Stegostoma tigrinum: one gene and its partners. The protein of the gene in region 1 interacts with the protein of each later gene in a biochemical or structural test. Links are inferred from orthologs where the notes say so. Each region holds a gene or a part of one and is shown in the gene's direction. Other genes may lie near its edges. The genes, in order: nuclear RNA export factor 1, rbm15, alyref and ran.

The links.
Region 2: the proteins of nuclear RNA export factor 1 (region 1) and rbm15 form a complex in vitro, tested with the Homo sapiens proteins (2 studies listed by BioGRID). The link is inferred for Stegostoma tigrinum from reciprocal best matches to the Homo sapiens genes NXF1 and RBM15.
Region 3: the proteins of nuclear RNA export factor 1 (region 1) and alyref form a complex in vitro, tested with the Homo sapiens proteins (2 studies listed by BioGRID and IntAct). The link is inferred for Stegostoma tigrinum from reciprocal best matches to the Homo sapiens genes NXF1 and ALYREF.
Region 4: the proteins of nuclear RNA export factor 1 (region 1) and ran form a complex in vitro, tested with the Homo sapiens proteins (2 studies listed by BioGRID). The link is inferred for Stegostoma tigrinum from reciprocal best matches to the Homo sapiens genes NXF1 and RAN.

The regions. Positions count from the first base shown.
Region 1 is NC_081395.1:11,825,373-11,832,463, reverse strand, and holds the start of nuclear RNA export factor 1, read left to right. Parts: upstream 1-4,077; 5' UTR 4,078-4,191; coding exon 4,192-4,219; intron 4,220-7,091.
Region 2 is NC_081374.1:584,196-591,810, forward strand, and holds the start of rbm15 (RNA-binding protein 15), read left to right. Parts: upstream 1-4,613; 5' UTR 4,614-5,391; coding exon 5,392-7,615. UniProt on the Homo sapiens protein: RNA-binding protein that acts as a key regulator of N6-methyladenosine (m6A) methylation of RNAs, thereby regulating different processes, such as hematopoietic cell homeostasis, alternative splicing of mRNAs and X chromosome inactivation mediated by Xist RNA.
Region 3 is NC_081375.1:11,189,406-11,197,207, forward strand, and holds the start of alyref (THO complex subunit 4), read left to right. Parts: upstream 1-4,792; 5' UTR 4,793-5,190; coding exon 5,191-5,481; intron 5,482-7,003; coding exon 7,004-7,135; intron 7,136-7,802. UniProt on the Homo sapiens protein: Functions as an mRNA export adapter; component of the transcription/export (TREX) complex which is thought to couple mRNA transcription, processing and nuclear export, and specifically associates with spliced mRNA and not with unspliced pre-mRNA.
Region 4 is NC_081379.1:1,447,568-1,454,775, forward strand, and holds the start of ran (GTP-binding nuclear protein Ran), read left to right. Parts: upstream 1-4,187; 5' UTR 4,188-4,297; intron 4,298-5,077; 5' UTR 5,078-5,099; coding exon 5,100-5,135; intron 5,136-7,208. UniProt on the Homo sapiens protein: GTPase involved in nucleocytoplasmic transport, participating both to the import and the export from the nucleus of proteins and RNAs. Switches between a cytoplasmic GDP- and a nuclear GTP-bound state by nucleotide exchange and GTP hydrolysis.

The DNA.
Region 1 (7,091 bases):
CGCCACTGCACACCCCCTGTTGTTAGTCACTAACAGTCCCCATTAACAACTACTCACCCTCCCAGCCAGATCGTTAGCAACTCCTTTGCCTGTCCAACTGTCTTTTTCTCTCTCCTTGGGCTCTGTCCTGTCGTTTACTCCCTACCCCACCCACCCACCTCCCTGGTTTCTGTATATAAACTGACATTTTCCCAGTTACCATCAGTTCTGAGGAAGGGTCACCGGACCCGAAATGTTAACTCTGTTTTCTCCTTCACAGGTGCTGCCAGACCTGCTGAGCTTTTCCAGCAACTTTTGTCTTTGTTCCTGATTTACAGCATCCGCAGTTCTTTCAGTTTTAAAATGTGAGGTGAACTTGATTAGGCCACTATTGGAATACTGCATGCAGTTCTGGTCTCCTTGCTATAGGAAAGATGTTGTGAAACTCGAAAGGGTTTGGAAAAGATTGATGAGGATGTTGCCGGGGTTGGAGGGTTTGAGCTACAGTTTGATGCTGAAGAGGCTGGATAAAAACCAAAAGAACTGCGGATACTGTAACTCAGGAACAAAAATAAAGTTGTTGGAAAATCTCAGCAGGTCTGGCAGCACCTGTGAAGGAGAAAACAGAGTTAACATTTCGGGTCCGGTGACCTGATGCTGCCAGACCTGCTGAGCTTTTCCAGCAACTTTGTTTTTATTCCTGAACAGGCTGGGGCTATTTTCCCCGGAGCGTCAGAGATTGAGGGGTGACCTTGTAGAGGTTTATAAAATCATGAGGTGTATCGATAGAATGAATTGCCAAGGTATTTTTCCAGGGTGGGGGAGTGTTGGAGAGAAACACGAGACCAGTGACAAAGACTCAGGAGGCAGGCACAAGGCAGTCTTTATTCTTGTTCAACCAACAACTGGTTAATGCAGGGAGAGGGCCAAGGACTTCCCTGAATCTGGCCTCAGTGTGTGAGAACCCAGTTGTTCTCTTAATCTTTGGCTCAAATCGGAAGAACGATCAATTTCATATTCCAGTGCTCACAGTGAGATAACAGAATTTTGGACATTTTGTGTTATAATAATCATATACAACATTGTTACTGTGTCCCTCCCCTTATTCTATACATTCAATCCTGTGAACCACCTAATCAATGATGGACATTCCTGTTGACAGCCCTAAGATCCCATGGGTCTCATGATGTTTAACAGACATTATAATCTCCAGGCCTTGGGATCTTTCTATTCATTCTATTAATTCACGTTCCAAAGTTACTAGCTATACTCCTTCGAATACATCCCAGACTTGCTTATCTCTAAGGACTGCTTGAATTCTGTTGCCCCTTGTATTCCTTTGCTATCTCCATCAAAATCTGTTACCCACCTTATATTTTCCCATTGTCCTAATTATATAAAAACAAAATACAGAAGACAGTTGGTTCTAACTAACTGCCTTAAGATTTGGAAAATTAATTTCTAATATATAGTTGGTTTAGTGTAAAATTTTATAGCTACCTCTGCTGTGAGCACTCTTTCGCTAATAAGTTGCAAGCAGTTTATTTCATACAGGACATGATGTTGTATACTTGTGCTGATAATTACGTTGGAATCTATCTGTGTGATCATCTGAAGAATCTTTAACTAGAACCTATTTCTTAATATTGTAACAATTTTAAGAAAATAAAACTAATTACTGCTAAATAACTTTCGCTGTTGTTTTCACAGCTGTGTGATGAATTAGGTTGACTGTTTTATGGGCTGAGATTTAGTGTCCTTATTCTGACTGATTCTTTCCTCCTAATGGGATGACATCCTTTCATTAACAAGGCTGGAATCAGTCACTTTTTACAGTTTAATGAACTTGTTTAATGCTACAGTTTTTTACAACCTGCAGTCTCAACGAGTTCATCTGTGTTTGTTACAAATTTTCAAGCTTGCGGCCCTTGACCACCCTCTTATTGAGCTGACCCTGATTGCTGCCTGTACGGGGCCTCCTCCCAACCCCCAAACCCCCTTTCACCTTGGAGTAACCCCTTTTCAAAGGCACCATAGTTTCACTTAAATGCTGGAGCAGGCATTTAATTCTGTTTATCCCCTTATCGGTCATTTTGTGTCTTTCAAATATGAGCAGCCGTGACAGTTAGCCTAAAACTGGAAGTCATAAGTTTAAAGTGAGAGGGGAAGAATGCAAAGGGTGACAACATTTTCACACAGAGGGTGGTGCGTGTATGGAACAAGCTGCCAGAGGAAGGGGTGGAGGCTGGTACAATTACAACATTTAAAAAGCATCTGGATTGGATACATGAAAAGGAGGGGTTTAGAGGGATATGGGCCCAATGCTGGCAAATGGGACTGGATTAATTAAGGATACTGGTTGGCACAGACTAGTTGGACCAAGGGGTCTATTTCCGTGCCATACAACTCTATGGCTCTTTGAGATAGATTTCTGATCACCAGTGGCATACTAGACTGGGTAAATTAACAATGATTGTATTGAACAGTGGGCCAACAAGCTGATTGACCTGCTTCTGTTCCTGTAGATATTTTTGATTTATTTTCCATAAAATGATATAAAGCCAATTTCAATAAAACAAAGAACGGTGGATGCTGGAGATCTGAAACAAAACACTGGTGGAGAAGCTTAGCAGGCCTGGGGATAAGAGTGAATGATTTTGCATCCATTATGACTCTTCGGAACAAAAATACATTTATCCTGTTTCTAGGATAAATCCCCTCACACTAACTCCACCCCCCCTCCACTCCTTCCCCCTAAACACAACCCCGACTCTGTTACTCATAACCCCACCGCCTGCCTTCCCGTAGCTCTATGCTCATTCCCTTCCCCTAATTTTTTGGAACAAACACAGAAGTTGCTGGAAAAGCTCAGCAAGTCTGACAGCATCTGTGAAGAAAGAAAAATCAGAGTTAACATTTTGGGTATGGTGACCCTTCCTCAGAACTGTTCTGATCTGAGGAAGAGTCATTGGACCCGAAACATTAACTTTGAATTTTTTCTTCACAGATGCTTTTCTAGTAAGTTCTGTTTTTATTCCTGATTTACAGCATCCATAGTCCTTGAGGACCCTTTTTTTTGGATTTGATTGCCCTGGGGGCCCCCTTCCTGCAGGAGGACTACTTTTTGGAGCTCATTCAGTTTTACTGACACCAATTTAACATTAATTTATTCAGTACTTTAACCATTTATACACTTTATTCTGTAATTCACCGGAACCTGGCAACATCATCCACTTTTCACCCTACCTGGGTACAAGTGACAATGTTAAATACGTCTGTGAGATAATAGATTCAAGTGCTCACAATCACAAAGTCTTGGAAACAAGTTACTTGCACTTTATTACGAGTCTGCAGAATCGGGTGCCTCCCATTGCCTGAGACACACACAGGTCAGGGAGTCGCCTCTTTTTATACATCATTTTATCCATCTATGTCCTCCACTTTCGGCTCTGTCCAATCTGAGCTCCAAGGTGCACAATCTTCCCATGTCGTCCCTTGTCCCACCCTCATCATACATTGCATGTTATGTTAATTAAGCAGTCTCGTAAGCATGGGTGTGAAAGTTAATATGCATTGTCTTATTAAGCATGCGCTTCAACTATGTCTATGGTGCAAAGCAAAACTTAGCAGTTTGGGTCCAGTTCATTCTGGTTTCTAACTGCTTGGCCTTCACTCCCTTATCTTATCACTCAGCTCAGTACCAGATGTCTTTGTTTAAAGCTGCAGTTAACTCATCCCTGTCTCTCACACGTCCAACCTAACCCCATCAGCAGCATAGACACATCTCTTCTCCTAACTCCACTTCCGGGTCCCCAAGCCCCGCCCCAAAGCGCTTGAAGCCAGCCCCGCCCCGCCTCCCTGTGACGTCAGGGAGCACCAAGCGACGCCAGTGATCTGGTGGACGCGCACGCGCGGTCGTTGCGGCGCCGTGGAGCGCGCACGCGCGTCGGACCGATTGTCCGTGGGTGAGGCGCCATCGCACATTCCTGTCAGAGCGGGCGGTCACACACAGACACACTACCGGGGGCGGGGTGTCCGTTAGAGCCTTAATCCCACAGAGCGACCAACACAAAACGGAGCCAACCAGCAGGACATCCCACGGTATCTTCTTTCTGCCTCCCCGCCCCCCCGCTCGGGTGTCATCCCCTGAGGAGCTCGGAGGGGAGAAACGGAGATTACTGACCGGATCCAGAGGAGGGAGACGAACGGGACATGTCGGAGGACGGGCGGCACTACAGCGGTAAGGAACGAGGCGGTTTAACGGACAAAGGTTCGACGCGTCTGACAGACAGACAGACAGACAGGCCGGGGGTGGTGGGGGTGGGGGAGAAGGTGGAGGCCTGGCGTTAGGCCTTAGAGTACAGGGTTGCACTTTGTATCCCATCGCCCCCCCCACCCCCCCAAACACCAAACCTGCCCCATCACCCCCCCCCACACACACCAAACCTTCCCCATCACCCCCCAAAACATACCAAACCTTTCCCATCACCCCCCAAAACATACCAAACCTTTCCCATCACCCCCCAAAACATACCAAACCTTCCCCATCACCCCCCAAAACATACCAAACCTTTCCCATCACCCCCCAAAACATACCAAACCTGCCCCATCACTCCCCCCACACACACCAAACCTTCCCCATCACCCCCCAAAACATACCAAACCTTCCCCATCACCCCCCAAAACATACCAAACCTTCCCCATCACCCCCCCAAAACACCAAACCTTCCCCATCACCCCCCCAAAACACCAAACCTTCCCCATCACCCCCCCCCAAAACACCAAACCTTCCCCATCACCCCCCCAAACATACCAAACCCCCCCCATCACCCCCCAAACACCAAACCTTCCCCATCACCCCCCCCCAAAACATACCAAACCTTCCCCATCACCCCCCCCAAAACATACCAAACCTTCCCCATCACCCCCCCAAAACATCAAACCTTCCCCATCACCCCCCCCAAAACACCAAACCTTCCCCATCACCCCCCCAAAACACCAAACCTTCCCCATCACCCCCCAAAACATACCAAACCTTCCCCATCACCCCCCAAAACATACCAAACCTTCCCCATCACCCCCACACACACACCGAACCCTCACCGCCCCCCCAAACGCTCCGAACCCTCACCGCCCCACCCCCCCAGATGCACCGAACCCTCACCGCCCCACCCCCCCAGATGCACTGAACCCTCACCGCCCCACCCCCCCAGATGCACTGAACCCTCACCGCCCCCCCCCCAACCGCTCCAAACCCTCACCGCCCCCCCCAGATGCACTGTACCCTCACCGCCCCCCCCAAACGCTCCGAACCCTCACCGCCCCCCCCGATGCACCGAACCCTCACCGCCCCCCCAACACACCGAACCCTCACCGCGCCCCCCCCCACAAACGCACCGAACCTTCACCACCCTCCTCCCCCCCCACCATCCCCTGCGCTTCTCTTCCCCTGCCCCCCAAGCCCACGCTTTTCTACTACCCCCCACCACCATGCTGGCTCTTCTATTCCCGCCCCCTTCCACACCCTGTTTTGTCTCCCCATTGCCCCCACCCACATATCTTCTCCCCCCTCCCCCCCCCACACACTCCCTCTGTGTTCTGCAAAATCCTCCTCCCCCATGGTCTGCTACCCCACCCCCGCCCCCGCCCCCACGGTCTGTTCCCCAACCCCTGTGGTCTGCCACCACTCTTCTCCTGCATTCCGCCACCCCTCCCTCTTGTGCCTCTGACTCCGCTCCCCTCGCTTTTTGCTCCCTTGGCCGCCCACTCACAGCACTTGTCTTCCCACCCCACAACCCCTTGCACGCACTCCCCCATCCCGTCCCTTGCTGTGACCCCTCTTCCCCCAACCTGCTTGACGACTCACTGGCCTAGAATCTTAGTTGCATTCTAAGATGTCAGTGACTTAACAGCTGTGCAATCGTGTCAATATTCACTACTAAATTTTGGTGTGTAACTTACACTAATTTCATGTGGTGAAATTTTTCAACTGCTACTGTTGGCTCAACAGTAGAGATATCAGGCAATGTCTGAGGACATTGTCAGGAAGCTGTAAAGCATGGCAGAGTGCATGAAGGTTGCTCTTGTGATCTTTGTGCTTTGTCAGAGATTGTAGGTGTTACCACCTCCATCAGTGAGCTTGTGGTCTTGCAGATTTCAGTGGTACTGATTAGCAGCCTGACTTGTGTTGTTGGATAGTATTGAGTCTTCTGAATGTTGGTGCTTCACCTATCACCTCTAGTTCTGCAGTGTTCTGAATTTGAGCCCTTTCAGTTCTGGTCTCTTGATCACCCCTGATTTCCATGGTGCACCATTGTTCATCACGCCTTCAGATGCGTGGGTCCTAAGCTCTGTAATTCCTTCCTTCCCTCTTCTGTCATCCAAGTTCATTCTCAACTCTTAGGCCAAGGTTTTGGGTCATCTGCTTAAATATCTCCTCATACAGGCTGGCATCACCTGAATTTTTCTGACACACTCTGTCACACAGCACCTTATGTTTTTATAATGTAAAAGGCCCCATAGAATTAAGTTCTGGTTGAAAAGACGAAAAGAAAAGCCCGTCCAAATGCAGTCAAATACTTCCCAAAGCAAGATCTGTCTGATTGACATCTTGCACCAGCAAATGCATAATTAAACCTGAGGAGAGAGTGAAGGAGCTTCATTCTAAGATTGAGATAACAAAGTATAGAGCTGGATAAACACAGTAGGCCAAGCAGCATCAGAGGAGCAGGAAAGCTGACGTTTCGGGTCTAGGCCCTTCAGAAATCTTCAGAAACTGGCCTAGAATCAACTAGACCGGAAACGTCAGCTTTCCTGCTCCTCGGATGCTGCTTGGCCAGCTGTGTTCATCCAGCTCTACTCCTTGTTATCTCGGATTCTCCAGCATCGGCAGTTCCTGCTATCTCTGTAACCATTCTAAGATTGATCTTTTGAAGATTGAACTTTCCTGGAAATTCCCACAGTTCTCCTCAGTGTCTGCTATCACCCATACACTTACACTGAAACCATATACATTAAAAGAATGCTGTTCACTGAAGTTCAGTACCTCCTGCAATTTACTTAAACTTCTGAAGTTGGCAGGATTTCAGAATTCTGACTTGGGTCCCTGCTCC
Region 2 (7,615 bases), on another chromosome or scaffold:
TCAATACACTACCTCCAATCCCTTTGTGGTTTAATTTAATATGCTAATCTCTTACATGGGACTTTGTTGGAAGTCATCTGAAAGTCCAGTAAACCATGTCCACTGGCTCTTGCACATCAACTCTACTGGTTACACCTCAAAGGATTCCAGTAGATTTGTCAAATGTGATTTCCCATTTGTAAATCTATGGTAACATTGTCTAGCCGTGCCACTGTTTCCTAAGTGCAGATGGTGCACGCTGCTGCTATTACACATTGGTGATGGAGGGAAATGATGTTTATTCATGTGGTACCAATCAAACAGGCTGCTTAGTCCTGGATAATATCAATTCTTTTGAGTGTTGTTGGAACAGTACTCATCCAGGCAAGTGTGGAGACTAATCCCTGACAGATGATTCCTTCATTATAAAAAAATCCCCTCTCTGAACGTAGATAGTTGGAGATATCCTTGAAATTAGCGAATAGTGTTCAACCTTGGTTAATTACAGAGGTTTGACAGCTACAAATTTCAGCTCTGTAACCACGTAAGTTCCACACCATCATTATCATTGAGAATACTGTCACTAACATGGAGCAGGACTTCACGGACCTGATTGTTGTGGCATTGATTCAGAACTTAACTCTGGAGCCAAATGAACATTGAGACCCATGACAGATCAAATTTAACATAGATAAGTTTGACAATGTACATTTTGGAAGGAAGACCGCAATAAGGGAATGCAAATTAATAGGGACAATTGTAAAGAGATGTAGGATCAGAGAAACTTGAAGGCATACGTACTTAAATCTTTTACATTGGTAAAGCTGTTAAAAAAAATGCAACCATTGATTGATTGATTTATTGTTAAATGTACCCAAGTACAGTGAAAAGCTTTGTTTACAAGCAGTACAGGCAGATCATAGTCAGCAAGGATGTACAGATCATAGGGTGGAGAAAGCTAGACAGAAACATACAAGTTATTTCGCACAGGGTGTGCACTAGGCAAAATCAACATTAGCAAGTTCAGCAATATTTGAAGTTAGAGAGTCCATTCATCAGTCTAAGAATGGCAGGGAAGAAGCTGTTCTTGAATATGCTCATGCATGTGTTGAAGCTTCTCTATCTTCTGTCTGATGGAAGAGTTTGTAGGAGATCATTCTGGGGTGTGATGTGTCTTTGATGACATTGACAGCCTTTCTACGGTAACGGACCAACAGTAAACCGACTCCATGGATGGAAGGTTGGCTTCCGTGATGGTCTGGGCTATGCCACCGCCTTCTGTAGTTCCTACAGTCCTGGGCAGAGCAGCTGTCATGTCAGGCCATTATGCACCCAGACAGTATGCTTTCAATGGTGCATCTGTCGATGTTGATGAAGGACCCAGTGGACATGCCAAATTTACTGAACCACTTGAGGAAGAAGAGGCATTGTTGTGCCTTCTTGACCGTCACATCTACGTGGGAAGAGCAAAACTGGTTGACGGTTATCGTCACTCTTAGGAACTTCACACACTCCACCCACTCAACCTCAGCACCATTGATGTAAATGGGGGCATGTTGACATCCTGTTCTGAAGTCGATGATCAGTTCTTTAGTTTCGCTGACGTTGAGAGAGAGGTTGTTCTCATTGCACCATGTTACCAAGCCCTCTATCTCCTTTCTGATTCGTCATTGTTTTATATCCAAGGTGGTGTCATCAGCAAACTTGTGGATGGCGTTTGTTTAGATTTTGGCAATGCTGTTGTACAGGGAGTACTGTAGGGTGTTGAGCATGTATTCTTGGGGGGGGGGGGGCGTAGTGATGACTGTTCTCATGGAGGCTGTGCAATTGGCAAATCTTCAGTGATTGTGGTTTGTTGGTCAGGAAGCTGAAGATTCAGTCACAGAGGGCAGAGCCTTTGTAAACAGAAGCCTGGAAAGTGCAAAAGCTAGAAAATTTTGCTAAAATTTTATAAAACTTTTATGAGGCATCAGCTAATATTTTGTGTCCAATTCTAGACAACTCACCATAAGAGATGAGGCTGAGGAAATTTATCAGTGAAACTACTAATGGAAGACTCAGTTAGTGAATATTCAAGGGAAGCTGTGATTGTTCTCCTTATAGAAGAGGAACTTAAGTGAACATTTGATGCAACTGTCGTTGATGTCGAAGAGCTTCATGATGTCTGGAGAAGGATCCTTAAACAGAGGGCATGGATTTATAACAACTAACAAAGGATCCAGAGGCAAAATTAGGAAAGATATCCCATCAGCACTGCCAAAAAGGATGTTGAAAACACCTCAGTTGTAACATTCCAAAAGAAAATAGAACATGTAGCATAGAACAGTACAGCACAGTACAGGCCCTTCAGCCCACGATGTTGTGCCGACCTATTATCCTAAGAACAATCTACGCAGCACACCCTATATTTTACTATCCTCCATGTGTTTATTCAGGAGTCACTTAAAAGTCTCTAACTAAAAGTATCTGACTCCACCACCACTGCCGGAAGCACATTCCACACGCCCGCCACTCTCTGTGTGAAGAACCTGCCTCTGACATCTCCCCTATACGTTCCTCCGATCAACTTAAAATTATGCTCTCTCGTAATAGTCATTTCCACCCTGGGAAAAAGTCTCTGACTATCCACTCTATCTATGCCTCTCATCATCTTGCAAACCTCTAACAAGTCACCTCTCATCCTTCGTCACGCCAATGAACATAGACCTAGCTTCCTCAACCTTTCCTCATAAGACCAGCCCTCCAGTCCAGGCTGCATCCTGGTAAAGCTGGATGAACACAGCAGGCCAAGCAGCATCTTAGGAGCACAAGAGCCTAGACCCTTCATCAGAGGTTGGTCCAGAGGGAGGAGGGTAACTTCTTCAGGTTAGGCATCCCTGGAAGAGGCTTTGCAGTGAGGTCTGATGAAGGGTCCAGGCCCGAAACATCAGCTTTTGTGCCCCTAAGATGCTACTTGGCCTGCTGTGTTCATCTAGCTTCACACTTTGTTATCTTGGATTCTCCAGCATCTGCAGTTTCCATTATCTCCGATCTAGCATCCTGGTAAATCTCCTTTACACCCTCTCTAAAGCTTCTACATCTTTCCTGTAATGTGGTGACCAGAACTGAACACAATATTCCTAGTGTGGTCTAAACAGAGTTTTATAGAGCTGCAGCATAACCTCATGGCTCTTAAACTCAATTCCCCTGCCAATGAAGCCAACACACTGTACGCCTTCTTTACAAACCTATCAACTTGGGTAACAACTTTGAGGGACACATGGATGTGGACCTTAAACCCCTCTACTCCTCCACATTGCTGAGACTCCTGCCATTAGCCCTGTATTCTGCATTCAGATTTGACCTTCCAAAATGAATCACTTCACACTTTTCTGGGTTGAATTCCATCTGCCACTTCATTGCCCAGCTCTGCATCCTGTCAACGTCCCATTACAACCTACAACAGCCCTCCATGCTGTCCACAACTCCTCCAGCCTTCATGTCATCAGCACACTTACTGACTCACCCTTCCACTTTCTCATCTAAACCATTTATAAAGATAATCAGCCCCAGAACAGATCCCTGCAGCACATCACAAGACACCAAACTCCAGGCTGAATATTTTCCAACTACTCCCACCCTCTGTCTTCTATCGGACAGCCAGTTTTGTTTTCAGACAGCGAGAGAGTTTGGATAAATAATGGAAGATGGTCTACAAGGGAAATAGTAGGGAACAAGAATGGTGTTAGAGAGAATTTCAGAAGCACAACAGCACAATCACAATGCTGTAAATCACTTAATAAGAACATAACAAACTGCAAATGCTGTAAATCAGACACAAAAACAGAAGTTGCTGGGAAAGTTCAGCATGTCTGGCACCAGCCAGGGACAGAAATCAGAGTTAATGGGAACTGCAGATGCTGGAGAATTCCAAGATAATAAAATGAGAGGCTGGATGAACACAGCAGGTCAAGCAGCATCTCAGGAGCAGGAAAGCTGACGTTTCGGGCCTGGACCCTTCATCTCTGATGAAGCTGAAACGTCAGCTTTTGTGCTCCTGAGATGCTGCTGGGCCTGCTGTGTTCATCCAGCCTCACATTTTATTATCACAGAAATCAGAGTTACTGTTTTAGGTTTGATGGACCTTTGTCTGAACTAAATGGGGTGAATGGCTTGGAGACAATAAGGTCTGCAGATGCTGGAAGCCAGAGTCTGTAGGTGTGAGGCTACAGCAGGTCAGAGAAGAGGGAAAGTCAACATGTCAAGCCCACACGCTTGGTCAGGCAAATGGCTTACCGTGTGTATGTGAGATCACAAGATGTGGAGCTGGATGAACACAGCAGGTTAAGCAGCATCTCAGGAGCAGGAAAAGGGTCCAGACCCAAATGTCAGCTTTCCTACTCCTCTGATGTTGCCTGGCCTGCTGTGTTCCTCCAGCCCTGCACCGATTACCACACTCCACCAGGACCAGCTCCTCCTTCCCCATCTGTGCGAGAGATCATATATAATGTGTATTGGGGAGGGGGAGGGGAAAAGGGCGGAGCTACTCTGCCAGAAGGATGTGGGAAGCAGCCAATGGGAGGGCGTGGTGCTACGGCGTCGCGTCCAATGGATGCGGGGGGATAGGGGCGGACGTTAGAATTCGAACGGAATTTCTGGTCTGATCTTTTTATTCGTGTTTCCAATTTCCATCGCCCAACGGCCATGATTTTCCTCAAGGTTCCGCTCAGCAAGTCTTCGTTAGAAGTTTGCCAGGCGATTGGCCAAGCAATAGCCTGCCTGGGCCCAATCAAAGTAAAGTGCTACTGAATAGACTGTAAAATTCTCCAGGATTTATTCAGGTGGCGCTTAATAAATTCGTTAGATTGTTTAATAAATTCAGGGATATCCGGCCCTCCATTCGACTTTAGAACAGGGTTTATGAGACATTGCCGAGTGCGTTACCAGGGCGTTACTGAGTGACACAGCACCGGCCAGTGACATGGGGAGGCCCAGTGATCTCGACCAATCACAGAGCGAGGCCTAGTGGTCCCGGCCAATCATAGTGCGGGACACAAAGGTTCTGGCCATTCAGCGTGGGCGTTGGGGGCGGGATCAGGTACAAAATGGCGGCGATGGCCCGAGTGGATTTTCGGTGTTGGTGAAAATCTGTGGAAAAAAATATCGGGAAGAAATAATCGATTTAAAACCATCAAAAAAGGGATTCAGTCGGTAGATTAATGAATTATCTGAGGTAAACTGTCGATTTAAAAGCGTCGATTGTTTCTATTCCTTCCCAAGGGGAAAGGGAAATAATGAAGGAGTACCAGTGAAGGAACGGCGGCGAGGAGATAGTGCAATCCGCCCGTTTTTATATCAGTCTGTATTTTTAGTGGAAGATTGATTTTTGTCTTTTCCTGCAACCTGGATTGCTAATTCCTGTCGTTAAGGAATATGAAGGAGAAAGACGTGTCGCCTAAAACTGGCGGAAAACGCGGTGAGGAAAGGCGAAGCGGCCATCACCAACAGCCGAGGAAAATTGGGAATACCCACAACAGCATCAACAGGAACAACAAAAACCACGGCAATGCCAAGAGGGCTCGCAACATTAGCGGCAAAAGGACCAACAACAGAGATTATGATGTTTACCCTCCCAACCGGACTACTAATAACTTGAGTCTTTCTTCCGCTTCCTCAAGGGCAAGTAGGACTGAGAGACAGCCTGCTGAATACAAAACCCTCAAGATCAGCAATCTGGGTTCCCAGTTGAGTGATGGTGCCATTGAGGATGGCCTCTTCCACGAGTTTAAGAAGTTTGGGGATGTCAGTGTGAAGATTTCCAGGGATGGTGATGAAAGAGTGGCCCTGGTGAATTTCAGACATTCTGAGGATGCTAAGGCTGCTAGGCACGCCAAGGGCAGATTGGTACTGCATGATCGCCCTCTAAAAATTGAAACAGTTTATCCTCCTCCAAAAGGAAGAAGTTACTCCCCTGAAATGGATGGGTATTCTGCACCAAGTGTCCAAGGCAACCGACACAGGCAAAGATCTCTGTCCCCTGCTGGACTTGGTTACAGAGAGCATAGAACTCAGCAACGCAGTTCTTTGGGGCGTCAGTTACCACCCCCACCACCTCCCCCTCCTCCACCTCAGAGAGATTTGGAAAGAGAGCGGGATTATGCCTTTTATGAAGGCAGGGCACGTGCTGCTTACACACTTGATAGAACCACATTTAGGGAGGATGAAATCTTGCCAGAAGATGACAAAAGAGCTAACAGGACGTTGTTTATTGGTAACTTGGACCCTTCAGTGTCACAAAATGACCTTCTGCTTGCGTTTGAAAGGTTTGGCGTTATCTTGGAGGTGGATATCAAGAGGCCACCACGTGGGCAAGGAAATTCTTATGGTTTCCTGAAATTTGAAAACTTGGACATGGCCCATCGAGCTAAGATGGCAATGTCAGGAAAAGTAATTGGACGAAATCCCATCAAAATTGGATATGGGAAAGCAACGCCTACCACTCGATTGTGGGTTGGAGGATTGGGTGCCTGGGTTCCTGTAGCAGGTCTTGCAAGGGAATTTGATCGATTTGGGACCATAAGATCAATTGACTACAGAAAGGGAGACAATTGGGCTTATATTCAGTATGAAAGCTTGGATGCTGCACAAGCTGCATGTACTCAGATGCGTGGCTTTCCCTTGGGTGGACCAGATCGACGTCTAAGAGTTGACTTTGCGGATACAGAACATCGTTATCCTCAACAGTATCTGCAGGCCTTGCCTCTACCTCCTTTTGATTTGATTGGAGATGGCCTTCTTCCTCGAGGTGCAGAGTGTCTGAGGGGTAGGGAAAGAAATTCTCCTCCAATGCATTACAGAGAAAGAGAGCTTTTCCCAGGCAATGACTGGCATGTCCTTTCAGTCCGGGAAAGAAACAGAAATAGCCATGAACAGTTCGATCATCTGGATCGTGAAGTCAGGGATAGCTGGTCTCTTGAACGTGGGCGTGACCATATTTTGCAAAATTGGGACCAAAGAAGGAAAAGGAGAGGCCCTCCAGATACACGCCCAGCTGATTGTTCTCCTAGCAATGACCGCTCCAGAAAACGACGATGCATTTCCCCGGATCGCAGCCCGGGTAATAGCAGTCGTGATGGTGGACGCCACAGTGATTCAGACCGTGATGTTAAGAATGAGCGGTATTCGCCCAGTAGGGATCGTTGTAACAGCACAGAAAAAGTGCCCTGTGGTAAACATGAGACCAAAACTGTCAATGTGAATGAAAAGGATAAAGACCGCAAACATAGAACTACAGAATGTGCAAGTCCCACAAGGAGCAAGACTAAATCTGACTCCAGCAATGCCAAAGCATCGGATGGCTTCCGGGAATACGAACGCAAATTAAATGTAGCCTGGCATGGAATGCTGGTACTGAAGAATAGTTCTTTTTCCACAAACATGCACTTCCTTGAGGGTGATCTTGGCGTTGCGGCCAACTTATTAATGGATGTCTCAACTGGTGGAAAAGTCGCACAGTTAAAAATCACTCAGCGCTTACGACTAGATCAGCCTAAATTGGATGAGGTAACAAGACGCATCAAGGCATCAGGCACTAATGGCTATTGTGTCCTATTGGCTGTACCAGCATTGAACAGCATGGAAAATGTAGAAGGAATGT
Region 3 (7,802 bases), on another chromosome or scaffold:
AATCCAAATCTACCGTTTATACTTGTGCTGTGTTACAATAGAAAATTTGTATGAAAAATCATATCCTATCTTGGGTACAGGTCAGATCAGAGCAGAAAATATTACTCGTGCCAGCCTTTAAAATAGCTATATGTGGATGTCAGCATTTCTGTTACATGCCTTTTCTGGGGTTAGCTGTTATATAATTTATTTAAGAATAAGCTACAAGCAGATTCAATCAACTATAATTTATGAATCACAAAGAGGGAGGCAGTGACGTAGTGTTAATATCACTAGATTAGTATTCTAGAATCCCAGGGTAATATTCTGGGACATGGGTTCAAATCTCACCGTGGCAAACTTGAATCAATAAAAATCTGCAATAAAATGTAGGTTAATGATCACCATTGTTGATTGTCATAAAAACCCATCTCGGGCATCCATGTGACTGAAGACCCACATCATGTGGTTGACTCTGAACTGTCCTCTGGGCGAATGGGAATAGTCAATAAATGCTGGCCTCGCCAGAAATGCTCTCATACCGGGAATGATTCTTTTTATTAAAAAAAATTGCAACATAGAAAGAGACTATTAGACCGATCAGGGTCATGTTCCACATAAACCACCCCCTCAGTACCACCATTCTTAAAACCCTTATCCCAATATTTACATTGAAATGTTATTTATCAAGAATCTTTCTTGAGAATCAAACCAATTTAGTTGGAAAATGAAAAATCATAAGGAAATGACAAATGTTGTTACAAAATGTAATTGTTTTTAATCCATTGAACAGTTTGTCATAAACAAATGCAGACATCGTATGGGATAGCTATATATAAATCTGACTTTGAGAAAGATATTAGCAGTAAAAGATTAGAGATTTAAGATTCTCAGACCAAACTGGTAGTAATTGTTCAATTGCTAGAACATAAAGTATGAATTTATTCATCAGTTATAGCCCTTATTACCGACTCCACATTTATAGTACTTTGATTTTTCTTTCTTGAAAAGTACAGAAATAATGATAATCATCAATAGAATCAGTTGTGACTAGGCAGAAGGTATGTCCTTGTCTCCTTTGACTCATCCCTTAATCAGCTGCAGTGATTTTAACATTGGGACCTTTTATAATCCATGTGGGATATGTTCACTCTTGATGGGAATGTAACCAGGAAATGACAATTTTCAACAGATGAAACAGAAGAATAATTGTTCCTGAGGGGGTAGTGACTGATGCCAAGCACAACTAATAAATTTCTGAATGTCAAACTCAATGTATTTGTTCCCATGGGCTTCTTACTGTAATTTTATTCTGAAGGACAAAATGAGCAGAATCAAAAACAATAACCCATAAAATATAGCACAGATTTTCTAAGTTATGCCATTGAAACAAGTTAGCCTGCTTCAGACTGTTCAGTAAATCCTTTAAAGTTATGAATGGATCTGCAATGCTCAAATACAATTATGTATTTAATGAAATGCCTTCAAAATAGTTTGACATTTCCTTCCTCCACCCACAGACAACATCAACAATATTCCTCGTTAATTATCCCCTCATTTTGGAGTCCAGTTTTTGAAAGAAATGCTCACAGCAAAGCTTAACGTTAATGGAATTTGAACCAACATATCCTGCTTGAAGTTTAATAGTATTCGTTGCATCGCCAATTCAATTGCATTGACCTTCTGAAAAGAAACAGCAACTGAGTGTGAAAGAAACTGATTGCTGCAACTGCTTTGTTTGAGTTACAGAAAATTAATTATACAAATTGTAGTAATGTAAGAAGTGTGAATCAGCGATCAATGCTGGTCAAACTGGAAGAGAAAGTGTATGAAATGAAGGATATATACTTGGAAGCAAGGCGAGAGATTACCACTGAGGATGGTCCATGCAAGGACTTGAATTAGGGGTGGGAAAACACATGGTTCTTGGAGAGGACAGCAACATCTTGTGTTTAGTGGTAGAAATGTCTCGTCACATAGCAGGCTGATAATCAAAAACTTGGCACCTGACACGTAAGGAGAAGCCAAAGAGGTAGGTCTCAAGGAATGTCTTAAATGAGTAGAAAAAGCTTGAAGAAATTTAAGCAGGGTATTTCAGTGCTCACAGGCTAGGCAGCTGAAGGCATGGTGGACTGATTATAATTAGGAAAGCACAAGAAGCAGAATTAGAGGAGTACAGAAGACTTGAGAGGCTGGACAAGGTTGCAAAGTTAGTGAGGGGTGAGGCTATGGAACTATTGTGCAGATAGAATCGTAGAATCCCTACAGTGTGGAAACAGGCCCTTTGGCCCATCTAGTCCACACCAACCCTAAGAGCATCCCACCCAGATCCATCCCCCTATAACCGACCTAATCTACACATCCCTGAACACTCCAGGCAATTTAGCATGGCCAATCCATTTAGCCTGTACATCTTTGGATTGTGAGAGAAAACTAGAGCACCCGGAGGAAACACATGCAGACAAGGGGAGAATGTACAAACTCTGCACACACAGTCACCTGAGAGTGGAATCAAACCCAGGTCCCTGGCACTGTGAGGCAGCAGTGCTAACCACTGAGCCACTGTGCTAGCTAATGGGAAGGTGAATCTTTACACAGGAAGGAATGCAGTTTCATTACTGATGTTAAGTTGTAAAATGCTGAACACGTGGCTTCAAGATTTGTAAGCTGGAGAGAAAGAGATGGAAACAGATGTGGGTCTCTAGGCCCGAAACATCAGCTTTTGTGCTCCTAAGATGCTGCTTGGCCTGATGTGTTCATCCAGCTCCACACTTTATTATCACAGATGTGTGGCATTGTCATGAAGTTGGAAGAAAGCAGTCCAATCCCCATCAGAATAGATGTCTAGTGAGCTCAGCTTGAAGTTGAACCGTAGAACAGCTCTACACTTCCTGATTTAGCCTAAAGGTAGTTGCCAAGGGAGTATATGAGAGGGGGAAAGGGCCAAATTTAAAGACTATAGGCAGGGGCCAAACAGAATGGGTTAAATTTTGATTGCATTAATCTGGAAATTGTGGTTGATGCAGGCAATTGGACAGTGCAGCAATGTTTTTTTAAAATCATTCACTAACTGGGGACATTGCTGGCTATGCCGACATTTGTTCCTCATTCCAGGGGATAGTTCAGAGTCAACCACTTTGTTGTGAGATGGAGTTACATGTGATCCAGACCAGGTAAGGATGTCAGTTTCCTTACCTAAAGGCATTCATGAACGATATGGGTTTTTTCCTGACAATCAACAATGGTTTTATAGTTATCATTAGACTCTTAATTACAGATTTTTGTAGAAATTCAATTCTACCATCTGCCACGGCAAGATTTGATCCTGGACCCCCACAACATTACCTGGGTCTCTGGGTTAACAGTCCAGCATTAAAACTGCTAGACCGTCGCCTCCCCCTTTGGACTGTCAAGGGAGTCAGACACTGTGTTGAAGTCAATCCGAGTTTATGATGATATCAATAAATTATAATATTACTAGAGGAGATAGGGTTAATGGTAGAATCTATAAAATGCTAGACTTATACCAGATGTGAGTTGAAATAGCAGAACTAATTTTGGGAGGCAAACAGAATGTTAACAAAAAGCTGCAGTTGTATGGCTTTACTTAATGTAGCCCAGCCCTATATGTGAATGGAGACTCAGTCTAAACAGCCAGCCATAGAGAGGGACAAAGGTTGATCTGCCCCCTGGAGCAAGCTAAAATAACTATTGAACAACACCATGTAGCAAGCAGTGATGAGCGGAACCTGCCTCTATTTGATGATTAGGTTTCCTTGCAGCAGGCAGGTGCTGTGCCTGCTGGTATGGTTGTTGGTTTCTATAACTGATAGGTTGGTACCACTGGGGCTGCAGTGTACAGACAAAATAGTGGAAACGTTTTTGATTCAATGTTTTCTGTATGCCCCTTCAAAAGACACTTGTTAAAATTAATAGCTGATCAATGAAATGTGTGATTCAATTTTAGATGGTAATCTTTGCCATTTTGCATTACAACATTTTTTCTTTAGCATTCCCCAATCCCTCCACACCACCATCCCCCAATCTTTCTCCTAGACCTATCCCCATCCCTCGCATCCCTGTCTCTCCAATCCCCATACTTCTCTGCATTCACATCTGATTCCCTAATCCCACCCCATTCACCCCAACTCAACCTAAATCTCCCCCAAAAATTCCCCCACCTCTCCCTGAAACGTCCCTCAAATCACTCCCACAAAATGCCCACCCTCTCAAATATGCCCCTTACACCACCATATAAATATCCCACACCCCCGCAGAAAAATCCCAACCACATAGCCCTCCCACAAATCAGAACCGAAATAACAATGAGTGTTGTAAATCAGGAACAAAAGCAAAGTTGCTGGAAAATCTGAGCAGGTCTGGCAGCATCCATGAAGGGGGAAAAAACGGAGCTAACGTTTCCCTTCCTCAGAACGTCTTCCCGACATATCAACCTACCACACACACACACCCTATTCCCATCCATGTATTGCTACCCAGCCCTGCTCATTCCCCACATCTCGCCCCCCAACTCCTGTGGGAGTTACCAATGAAGGCTGAGAAACTGCTCCCCCGAGGAGGTGTAGAGCTGGAGGAACGCAGCAGGCCGAGCAGGATCAGAGGAGCAGGAAGGCAGATGTTTCGGACCTTGTTATCTCAGATTTTACCGCGTCTGCAGTTCCTGCTACCCCCGAGGGGGTGTGTCCATGGCTGCGCGTGACGTCAGCACACGTCACCGCCGCGGGGGTTCCGTCTCATGCTCAGTTTCTCTGAATGGGCAGAGCCCGGCCCCGTTGTTTGTTCCTTCCCGCCTTGCCCGCTGATTGGGCGCATCCTAAGTGGGAGTCGTTGATGACGACTGCTATTGTGACCGGCCGTGGCGGGCAGCGCGTGCGCAGTGTGTGGACGGGCCGTCGTCACTCCCCATCCCGCCCTCTCTGTCCTTAAAGCCGCCATTAACCGTGTCAGTGAGGTGCGGCGCCGCGGTCAAAGCTGCGATAGATCGTTATACCAATTTACATTATATATATATAAAAAAACACACTCTTTAATCAAGGTGTTTTTTTGTTGATGAATCTGGAAAATTAGCTTGTTTTTCGTTTCCCCTGTCGGATACTCGAAAGCCAAGCCCTCCGTCGTGAAGAGGCGGTTTTGTTGTGTGGGGCGGGAGAAAGGGATTAAAGGGTTTTTTTCCTTTCTCCGAGAGCAAAAATGGGCGACAAACTCGACATGTCCCTGGACGACATCATCAAACTCAACCGGCAGAAAAGCCCAGGCGGCCGCGGGGGCCGAGGTGCCCGCGGCGGCGGCGGAGGAGGTGGTGGTGGTGGTGGAGGAGGAGGCGGTATGGGCCGGGGAGCCGGCCGAGGCGGCCTAGCCGGTCGTGGAGCAGCGGGAGGCCGCGGTGGCGGTGGAGCTGGGGCGGGAGCCCTGGCTGTAGGCCTCATGCGCAACAGACAGAGTGCAATCCGAGGAAGAAACAGACCGGCTCCGTACAGCAGGGTAGGAAGCGACCGCGGTTTTAACACACAAAAAAAACAGAAATGATAGGGGAAAAAAATGTTTCATTTAAATCCAGAGAGAGAGGAAGGAAAAACAAATCATTTGTAGATTTTTATTTTGTTTTTTTTCTGGAAGTGCTTTTTTTAATATAAAACGTTCGGTTTGAATTTTGAACCGAGCGGCGCCATATTGGAGCCGTTATAGATTCGGTTTTTTTTCATTACTTTTTTAAAACAAAAATCTTTTAGCCCGCTAACTTTTTAAAACAAACCCCGGGCCCCGCTGGCCACGAGTTATTTTTTTTCGTGAAAACGTCGGAGAATCGAGGAAGAAGGGATTGTTACACGGCGCCTCGTGATTTCTACGGAGGAGGCTGACAAGCGGAAATTCGTGTTTTCGTTGCTAATAATTTGCTTTTAAACGTCCGTCCAAGTCTGTTGAGAGCTCGGAAATGTGATGGCGGCTCCCGAGCAGAGCCTGCGGTCGACACCGGAGCCGAATTCACCAGGAGCTTTAAAATGGCGGCCCGACCCGAAGCACAAAGATGTCGGGGAGGAGCGTGGGGATCAGCAATCCTGCCGCAGTAATAATGCCCTCGCTCCCTTTGTGCTTCACACCGACGGATTTACAAAGGATGGACTGTTTGTAAGGACCACCTTTTGCCACTTTACCACATCAAAAGTTCGATTGATTATTTGCACCGCATTTCTCGACGGCAGCTTCGCATCTCTGGTCACCTTTAACAGACTCCTGAATTGATCAGGACTATTTCAAACTGCCTCTTTTTCTTTGGACTTTAATGAAACGTTCATACAAAAGTGAACCTTCTGCGAGCATATCCTTCGCTCGGTTGGTTACCTGGCAAGTCATGGACTTTTTTTTTGAAGGACTCTTGATCAGTTCTATTAAAAGGAACTTAGCTGATGCAAAGCGTTCCTTTGTTATGGACTCCTGCGCTGCCAAGAATTTTGGACAGTGGAATGCATCTCGCTTGGAAGAGATGGAGGCGTTGCAGCTGTTTCTGCTGGAGAAGCTACCACCAGCTGAGGAGAATTTCACCAAAGTATCTGGCTAGTGGCTATTAGAAGGAATCCAGGCTTTAGTTCGAGATGATGTGCTGTGGAAACAGTGGTAGGATAATAAGTGAATTCATTTCTCACCAAGTAAACAGTTGCATCTGATTTTCTATGCTTAATTTTCATCTATCATTGTGTGTACAGGACCACTTTATATGTTGCTAGCTTAGTGAACTGAGTACAAACATTTTAATTAGATACTAAATTATATTCAGTACATACGCACATGTCATTTTGTTAAATAGTTAACCCATTTCAGGTAAGGTCAGTGTATTTGTAATGAAACTCCCATGACAATCGCTGAAGCAAGTGACTCAGTCTTGCCTATAATATATTGTAAATATAGGGGGAGGGGAAAGATAGATAGGGTGGACATGTGAAATTAACCAATGTATTGGGGTACAAAATGTAGGAAGTCAGCGAGGTATATCTCTATTTTCTTATAGCCGAAACAACTCCCAGACAAGTGGCAGCATGACCTTTTTGACAGTGGTTTTGGCGCTAGCGGCGGTGTTGAAACTGGTGGAAAACTCTTGGTGTCCAACTTAGACTTTGGTGTGTCTGATGCAGATATTCAGGTAAGTGAAGTGCAGGATATTGGTCCTGAGTTGTGGGTTGGAAATGCTCATGGGTATTCTAGTTTGTTTAGAATTGAACTCTTCCTGCCACTGATTAAACAATACAACAGGATAGTGTGGAAGTTATTTTTAAATAGCAATACAGTTGGCCTTGCTATTCTCTTCTCTTTTTATCCCCCCTCAGACTCTTCTCCCTGAAGTGTGGTTTTTGTTATGTTACGTTGTTTTGGCTACTCTAAATATATGTCCAGCACCCCATCACCTGCAGATCCTAAAGTCTAGGTACTCTGGCCAATAAATCTGATGATCAGTTTGGTTTGATAAGATGATATACTGAGCCACTAAAAACTGTTCCTATCTAAATGCATTGTTTCAACCCCCTTTTATCAAACCATTTCCTTTCTCCAGAAGGAGCGGAATCCTCCTCCAAAACATCATCTCACTTGAATTTCATGTACCTTTTTATTCATTCCAGTATGTTGTCCTCAAAGACTTTTGAGTATCTTCTGCTTAATGCACTTCCAGGTTTTAATTGTTTCTAGACTTCAGACTTGTAGTTCCATGTCCCATGTCTGTCATTAGTCTTCAGAAATCTGACATGATTTAAATATTAGCTGTTGAAGTAAATGGCCTTGACTCATTGCTTTGCTCTGAGTGGTCTTGCAGT
Region 4 (7,208 bases), on another chromosome or scaffold:
TCACACCCCGCCCCCGCCACAACCGCCCCAAGAGGATCCCCCTCGTTCTCACACACCACCCTACCAACCTCCGGATACAACGCATTATCCTCCGACACTTCCGCCATTTACAATCCGACCCCACCACCCAAGACATTTTTCCATCCCCACCCCTGTCTGCTTTCCGGAGAGACCACTCTCTCCGTGACTCCCTTGTTCGCTCCACACTGCCCTCCAACCCCACCACACCCGGCACCTTCCCCTGCAACCGCAGGATATGCTACACTTGTCCCCACACCTCCTCCCTCACCCCCATCCCAGGCCCCAAGATGACATTCCACATTAAGCAGAGGTTCACCTGCACATCTGCCAATGTGGTATACTGCATCCACTGTACCCGGTGCGGCTTTCTCTACATTGGGGAAACCAAGCGGAGGCTTGGGGACCGCTTTGCAGAACACCTCCGCTCAGTTCGCAACAAACAACTGCACCTCCCAGTCGCAAACCATTTCCACTCCCCCTCCCATTCTCTTGATGACATGTCCATCATGGGCCTCCTGCACTGCCACCATGATGCCACCCGAAGGTTGCAGGAACAGCAACTCATATTCCGCCTGGGAACCCTGCAGCCATATGGTATCAATGTGGACTTCACCAGTTTCAAAATCTCCCCTTCCCCCACTGCATCCCTCAACCAGCCCAGTTCATCCCCTCCCCCCACTGCACCACACAACCAGCCCAGCTCTTCCCCCCCACCCACTGCATCCCAAAACCAGTCCAACCTGTCTCTGCCTCCCTAACCGGTTCTTCCTCTCACCCATCCCTTCCTCCCACCCCAAGCCGCACCCCCAGCTACCTACTAACCTCATCCCACCTCCTTGACCTGTCCGTCTTCCCTGGACTGACCTATCCCCTCCCTACCTCCCCACCTACACCCTCTCCACCTATCTTCTTTACTCTCCATCTTCGGTCCGCCTCCCCCTCTCTCCCTATTTATTCCAGTTCCCTCCCCCCATCCCCCTCTCTGATGAAGGGTCTAGGCCCGAAACGTCAGCTTTTGTGCTCCTGAGATGCTGCTTGGCCTGCTGTGTTCATCCAGCCTCACATTTTATTATCTTGGAATCTCCAGCATCTGCAGTTCCCATTATCTCTGTATTCAGGTGGAGTGCCTTTGTACTTGGAGATCACAGCAGGTCAGGCAGCATCCATGGAGAGACAACAAGCTGATGTTTTGAGTCCAGGTGACACTTCATTAGTATTTTTTGTTTTGAAACATAGAAACTTAGAAGATAGGAGCAGGAGGAGGCCACTCAGCCCATTGAGACTGCTCCACCATTCATCACAATCACGGCTAATCATCCAACTCAATTCCCTAATCCTGCTTTTGCCCCATTACCTTTGATCTCATTTGCCCCAAGTGCTATATCTAGCTGCCTCTTTAATACATTCAATGTTTTGGCATCAACTACTTTCTGCGGTAATGAATTCCACAGGCTCACCACTCTTTGGGTGAAGAAATGTCTCCTCACCTCCCGCCTTAATGGTTTACGCCGAATCCTCAGACTGTGACCTGGTTCTGGACACACCCACCATCGGGAAATTCCTCCCTGTCCAGTCCTGTTAGAATTTTATAAGTTTCTATGCAATCACCCCCATTCCTCTGAACTCCAATGAAAACAATCCCAACCTAGTCAATCTGTCCTTATACGTCAGACCCGCCATCCCCAGAATCAGCCTGGTAAACCTTCGCTGCACTCCCTCGAGAGCAGGAGTATCCTTCCTCGGAAAATGAGACCAAAACTGCTCACAGTATTCCAGGTGTGGTCTCACCAAGGCCCTGTACAACTGTAAAAGCACATCCCTGCTCCTGTACTCGAAACCCCTCGCAGTGAAGGCCAACATACCATTTACCTTCTTTACTGCCTGCTGTACCTGCATGCTCACCTTCAGCAACTGATGCACGAGGATATTGAGGTCCCACTGCACACTCCCCTCTCCCAATTTACAGCATACATCATCTGCAATAATTGTGCCTACATTGAACATAGAATACAGAACATTACAGCACAGTACAGGCCCTTCGGCCCTCAATGTTGCGCCAACCTGTGAGACCAATCTGAAGCCCATCTAATGTACACTATTCCATTATCATTTGTATGTTTATCCAACAACCATTTAAATGCCCTTAAAGCTGTTGATTTGCAGGCAGGGCATTCCACGCCCTTACTACTCTCTGAGTAAGGCACCTACCTCTGACATCTGTCCTATATCTATCACCCCTCAATTTAAACCTATGTCCCCTCGTGCTAGCCATCACCATCCATGGAAAAAGGCTCTCACTGTCCCTGCTATCTAATCCTCTGATCATCCTGTGTGTCTCTATTAAGTCACCTCTTCACTTTCTCTTTAACGAAAACAGCCTCAAGTCCCTCAACCTTTCCTCATAAGACCTTCCCTCCATACCAGGCAACATCCTGGTAAATCTCCTCTGCAGCCTTTCCAAAGCTTCCACATCCTTCCTATAATGGGGTGACCAGAACTGTACACAATACTCCAAGTGCGGTTGCACCAGAGTTTTGTACAGCTGCAACATTACCTCATGGCTCCAAAACTCAATCCCTCTACCAATAAAATCTAACACACCGTACACCTTCTTAACAAGCTGGGTGGCACTTTCAGGGATCTATACACATAGACACTGAGATCTCTCTGCTCATCCACACTACCAAGAATCTTACCGTTAGCCCAGTACTCTGTATTCCTGTTACTCCTTCCAAAGTGAATCACCTCACACTTTTCCACATTATACTCCATTTGCTACCTCTCAGCCCAGCTCTGCAGCTTATCTATGTCCCTCTGAAACCTGCAACATCCTTCCACACTATCCACCCCGACTCCGACTTTAGTGTCATCTGCAAATTTACTAACCCATCCTTCTACGCCCTCATCCAGGTCATTTATAAAAATGACAAACAGCCGTGGCCCCAAAACAGAACCTTGTGGTACACCACTAGTAACCGATAATTGTGCCTTTAATTTTGTCTTTTTAACATGTTTTGAATTTTGAACCTATTTGATGCTGCCCTCTGTTTCTGCTGCTTTCCACGTTCACTTATTGCTTTCCTTCCCACCATGTACAGCTTTGTTTCTGTCCTATCTGAATTGCTGCATCAGTGAGCTAGCAATAGATGTGACGAGCTCAATGACCACTTTCTGAACTATGACCATTCCACGCTGTTATTCAGGACTTTTCCTTATTCACTTGTGTGATGCGTGTCGCTGGATGGGCCAGTGTTGCGGCCTGTCCCTAAATGACCTTTGAGAAGGTGGGGCTGAGCTGCCTTCTTCAACCGCTGCAGTCCATGTGCTGTGGGTACAACCTATAGCTGTGTGCAAATATTAGGTCATGAACATTAAGCAGAAGTAGGCTATTGAGCCCCTTGAACCTGCCCACCATTGAATGGCTGATCTCATTTTGGCCTGAACTCCACTTCCCTACCTGCTGTCAAAAACTCTGCAACTCATTAGTAATTCAAAAGCTTCTTCCTCACTCAATTTACTCAAAGTATGAACGCAAGAAGACCCAGCATTATCTAAAATCAGAATAATGGTGGAAAAAAATGTAAATAATACAGTGGGAATGGTGATAGATCAGACAGCTACATGGTGAGGAATGACAAATTGCTGTAGTTTTACCAGACCACAGGGCTGCTCTTTAGTGAGAGAGCGAGAGAGACACGCACAGAGGTTGGTAGTTTAGCCTGAGTGTCATAATTGCTTAGGAGAGGGGAAAGGTTGATCAAAGTGTGTGGATTGAACCCAGACTGACAGCATTACACTGTTTCCACAAACCAAACCCAGGTAAGGGGGTACAGGGATAATGGGAACTGCAGATGCTGGAGAATCCAAGGTAATAAAGTGTGAAGCTGGATGAAAAGGGGGATGGGGTGAGGGTTCTGGAATAAATAGGGAGAGAGGGGGAGGCGGACCGAAGATGGAGAGAGGAGAAGAGAGGTAGGGAGGGGATAGGTCAGTCCAGGGAAGGCGGGATGAGGATAGTAGGTAGGAAAGGGATACAGCCAGATCATACGGAACTCCACATGGTTACATGTCCCCGCGCGCATGCTCACTCAGAGACACGCGAACGGTGCCTGCGCACGCTCACTCCGTCACACACACAAAACCCCGCCCCCGCGGGGACGCGCACCCAGCCCACGCCTCCCTCTGCGGACACGCGCACCGCGGCTGGTCACGTGCTGCGCTGAGCTGAATATTTGAGGCTCGAGCGTCCATTTTGAGGGAGAGAGGTTTCTGGAAGGTGAGGGTCCGGGAGATGTTGTGGGGGGAGCGGATGGAGGGCGGTTACCGTGTCCCTGATATCCCGGGGAGGGTACGGAAAGGTGGACAGAGGCTCCCTTACACCTTTCAATCCCGGGCCTGGGCTTCCCGCTCTCGGCCGTTTGCGGCGAGGCCGCGGCGCCATTTCCCGCTCTCCCGGGCCCTTAGGCCTTCCCTCAGCCTGGGGTCCCCCTCCCGGCTCACTGTCTCTTTACCCCCGCCCTCAGGAGGGAGACTGTGCCCCCACCACTCCCCGGGAGATACTCTGCACCCCTTCCCCCCCCCCCCCCCCCGGGTTCCGCCCCCTAAGCGTACACGGGGTTGAGGAGGGAGCGAAGGCCTGGCCCCGGGTTTGAAGCCCGGGCGGCGCCAGCACATGGCGCCTTTTCTCCATCCCCACCGCCTCGGGCCTTCCTCTGTCCCCATTCCCCTCCCCGGGCCTATCCCCTTTGTTCGGCCTTTTTGCTGCTGGAACTCCTCGCTGCGGTCCCAGGCTGATTTCTATCAATTTTTTTTAATCCTTAAAATCACTTGTTGGGCCAGGGGGCAGCAAACTATCTGCGTCCCACCCTTTTTTTTTGTGACTTGCTGCCACTCTTTTCTGTGCCACTTTAAATTCTTTCAGGGGACCGTTATTTTTGAGTCCTTTCCGCCCTTTTGTGATAATGCGCCATGTCTCCACACACGTAAAGCCTTGAACTGTGTTTCTGACCCGTTTCTGATTGTGCTTTTCAATTAAAGGTTGTCTTTTCTGTTAAAGGGTTTTTTTTTAAGAAAAAGCTATGGGTGATCAAGGAGAACCTCAAGTTCAGTTCAAGGTAAGAATCTGCTACAGGGGTGAAGGTAAATGCGTCCTTTTCAGAAACCAGTTTTCTTCTGCATGCTTTACCTGAAGTTACAGAACTGCCTGCAATTTTGAATGGATGAACAGTCCACTTTGTGCCTTGGTTCTTGGTTTTTTTATTTTAGAAATTAAGTGCTGTTTGCCTTTGATTGCTTGAAGAGCTGTGCACTTAATGCTCAATGTTGAGTATGTTGGCCCACCCATGTTTTGTTTTTGCATTTTTAATGCCTATCAGAAATAGTCAGTGAGGTTGGAGTCTTTAGCTTCTGCGTTGCAAGTAATGATTGTGAGAATCTCATATGCTTAATCCGTTTGTAGTAAATAATGTAACTGAAAGTTGTGTGTCATTGTTGTACTTGTGTTTTGGGTGTATATGGAGTACCTGTAACAATACTCTGATCAAAGAATTGGTTCTTCTGTAAATGGACTTCAGTTATTTCAGCCTCCATGTTACTTGCCATGTGTCTTCAATGTCAGTACAGCTCATGAGATTGGATTGTGACTCACTCCCAGCAGCGAGTTTGTGCCAGAAATGGCTCTACGGAGCTGCGTTTTAAGTATTGCAAAGATTCTTATGGAATAATAAGCAGCCTCTACTAACCATGTGCTAAAGGTGAAGGCTGATTATTATGTGACGCTTACAATGAGGTGGTAAGTGAAAAGGTAAGAGGAAAATGAGGAAACTGAAATGGGACATGACATGCCCCCGAGTAGAATATTTTGTATGTTTCCTTTTTTCTTATGAAATCGCACTGATCCATAATCTAAGGTGCTTGTAGAAGTACTGCAATAAGACTACTCTTGCTGGTGCCATTGTACTGCCAACATTTGTGGTAATGATCAGGAGGCTAAAAAAACTACATGGTTTTATTTAGTTGCAAACAATCCATTTATTTAAAGGGCATCTAGGTCCATCAGGGTGTGTATGTTGTTCCATTTTCTTGAAGTGCTTAAGATGTTTTCATTAAGCTGCAGTTAGTCTTTCATGCTCACTTCATAAGTGGGTAGATGATTCCACTAACAGTTCATTTCAGTATTCATATCCTTGGTTAGTTAAAATTAAGCTTTAATGTATGGCTAATTTACTTATGCCTTTTGGGGTGGTACGGTGGCTCAGTGGCTAGCACTGCAGCCTCACAGCACCAGGGACCCTGGTTCAATTCCAGCCTCTGGTGACTGTGCAAACTCTACACAGAGACATTCTCCCTGTGTCTGCATGGGTTTCCTCTGGGTGCCCTGTTTCCTCCCACAGTCCAAAGATGTGTAGTCTAGGTGGATTGGCTATGCTACATTGCCCATAGTGTTCAGGGGTATGTGGGTTATAGGGAATGGGGATGGGTTTGGATGGGATGCTTCAAGGGGCGGTGTGGACTTGTTGGGTTGAAGGGCCTGTTTCCACACTGTAGGTAATCTAATTTAATCATTTTTTCTCTCTTTTTTTCTCCTCTCCCAGCAGTCTCATGGAACTGTTACTAGTTTGATTTTTTTTAAGTTCTGATGTAAAATGCTTGGTAGGATTGACAGTCCTCAAAGTGTTGGGGAGGGTAAAACTTTATTTTCAATGCCTCTATACATTTTTGAGTTCTAGATGGTAAGGCTGAAACTTTGGACCTTGAGTCCAGAAGAGTTTGACAACCCTATTTGACCCTGGATAGTTAGCGCTCACTTGAGACCAGCTGTCTTGGTGTAACAGAAGTGTTGAGTGGCATTTCTAATTTTCAAAGCACAAAAGTCAGTAATGAAACACAGCAGAAATGCTGCAGAAACTCAGCAGGTCTGGCAGAGCACTGTCTCTGGACTCCATATTAACTCTGCTTTCTCCTACAGATACTGTCAGACCGGCTGATCTTCTCTAGCAATTTTTGTTTCAGATCTGCACCTTCTGCAGTTCTTTGTTTTTGTTGGAGGGGAAAGCGTGGTATTTAGATGATGGTAGGGGTGGGGCAAAATGGAATGAGGATAAGTAGAGGAAAAGATGATACTGGGCAAAAGGATTGAGACTAGTAAGCCAGGGAAGAAAAGCTGGATAAGTGATAATGGAGACTGA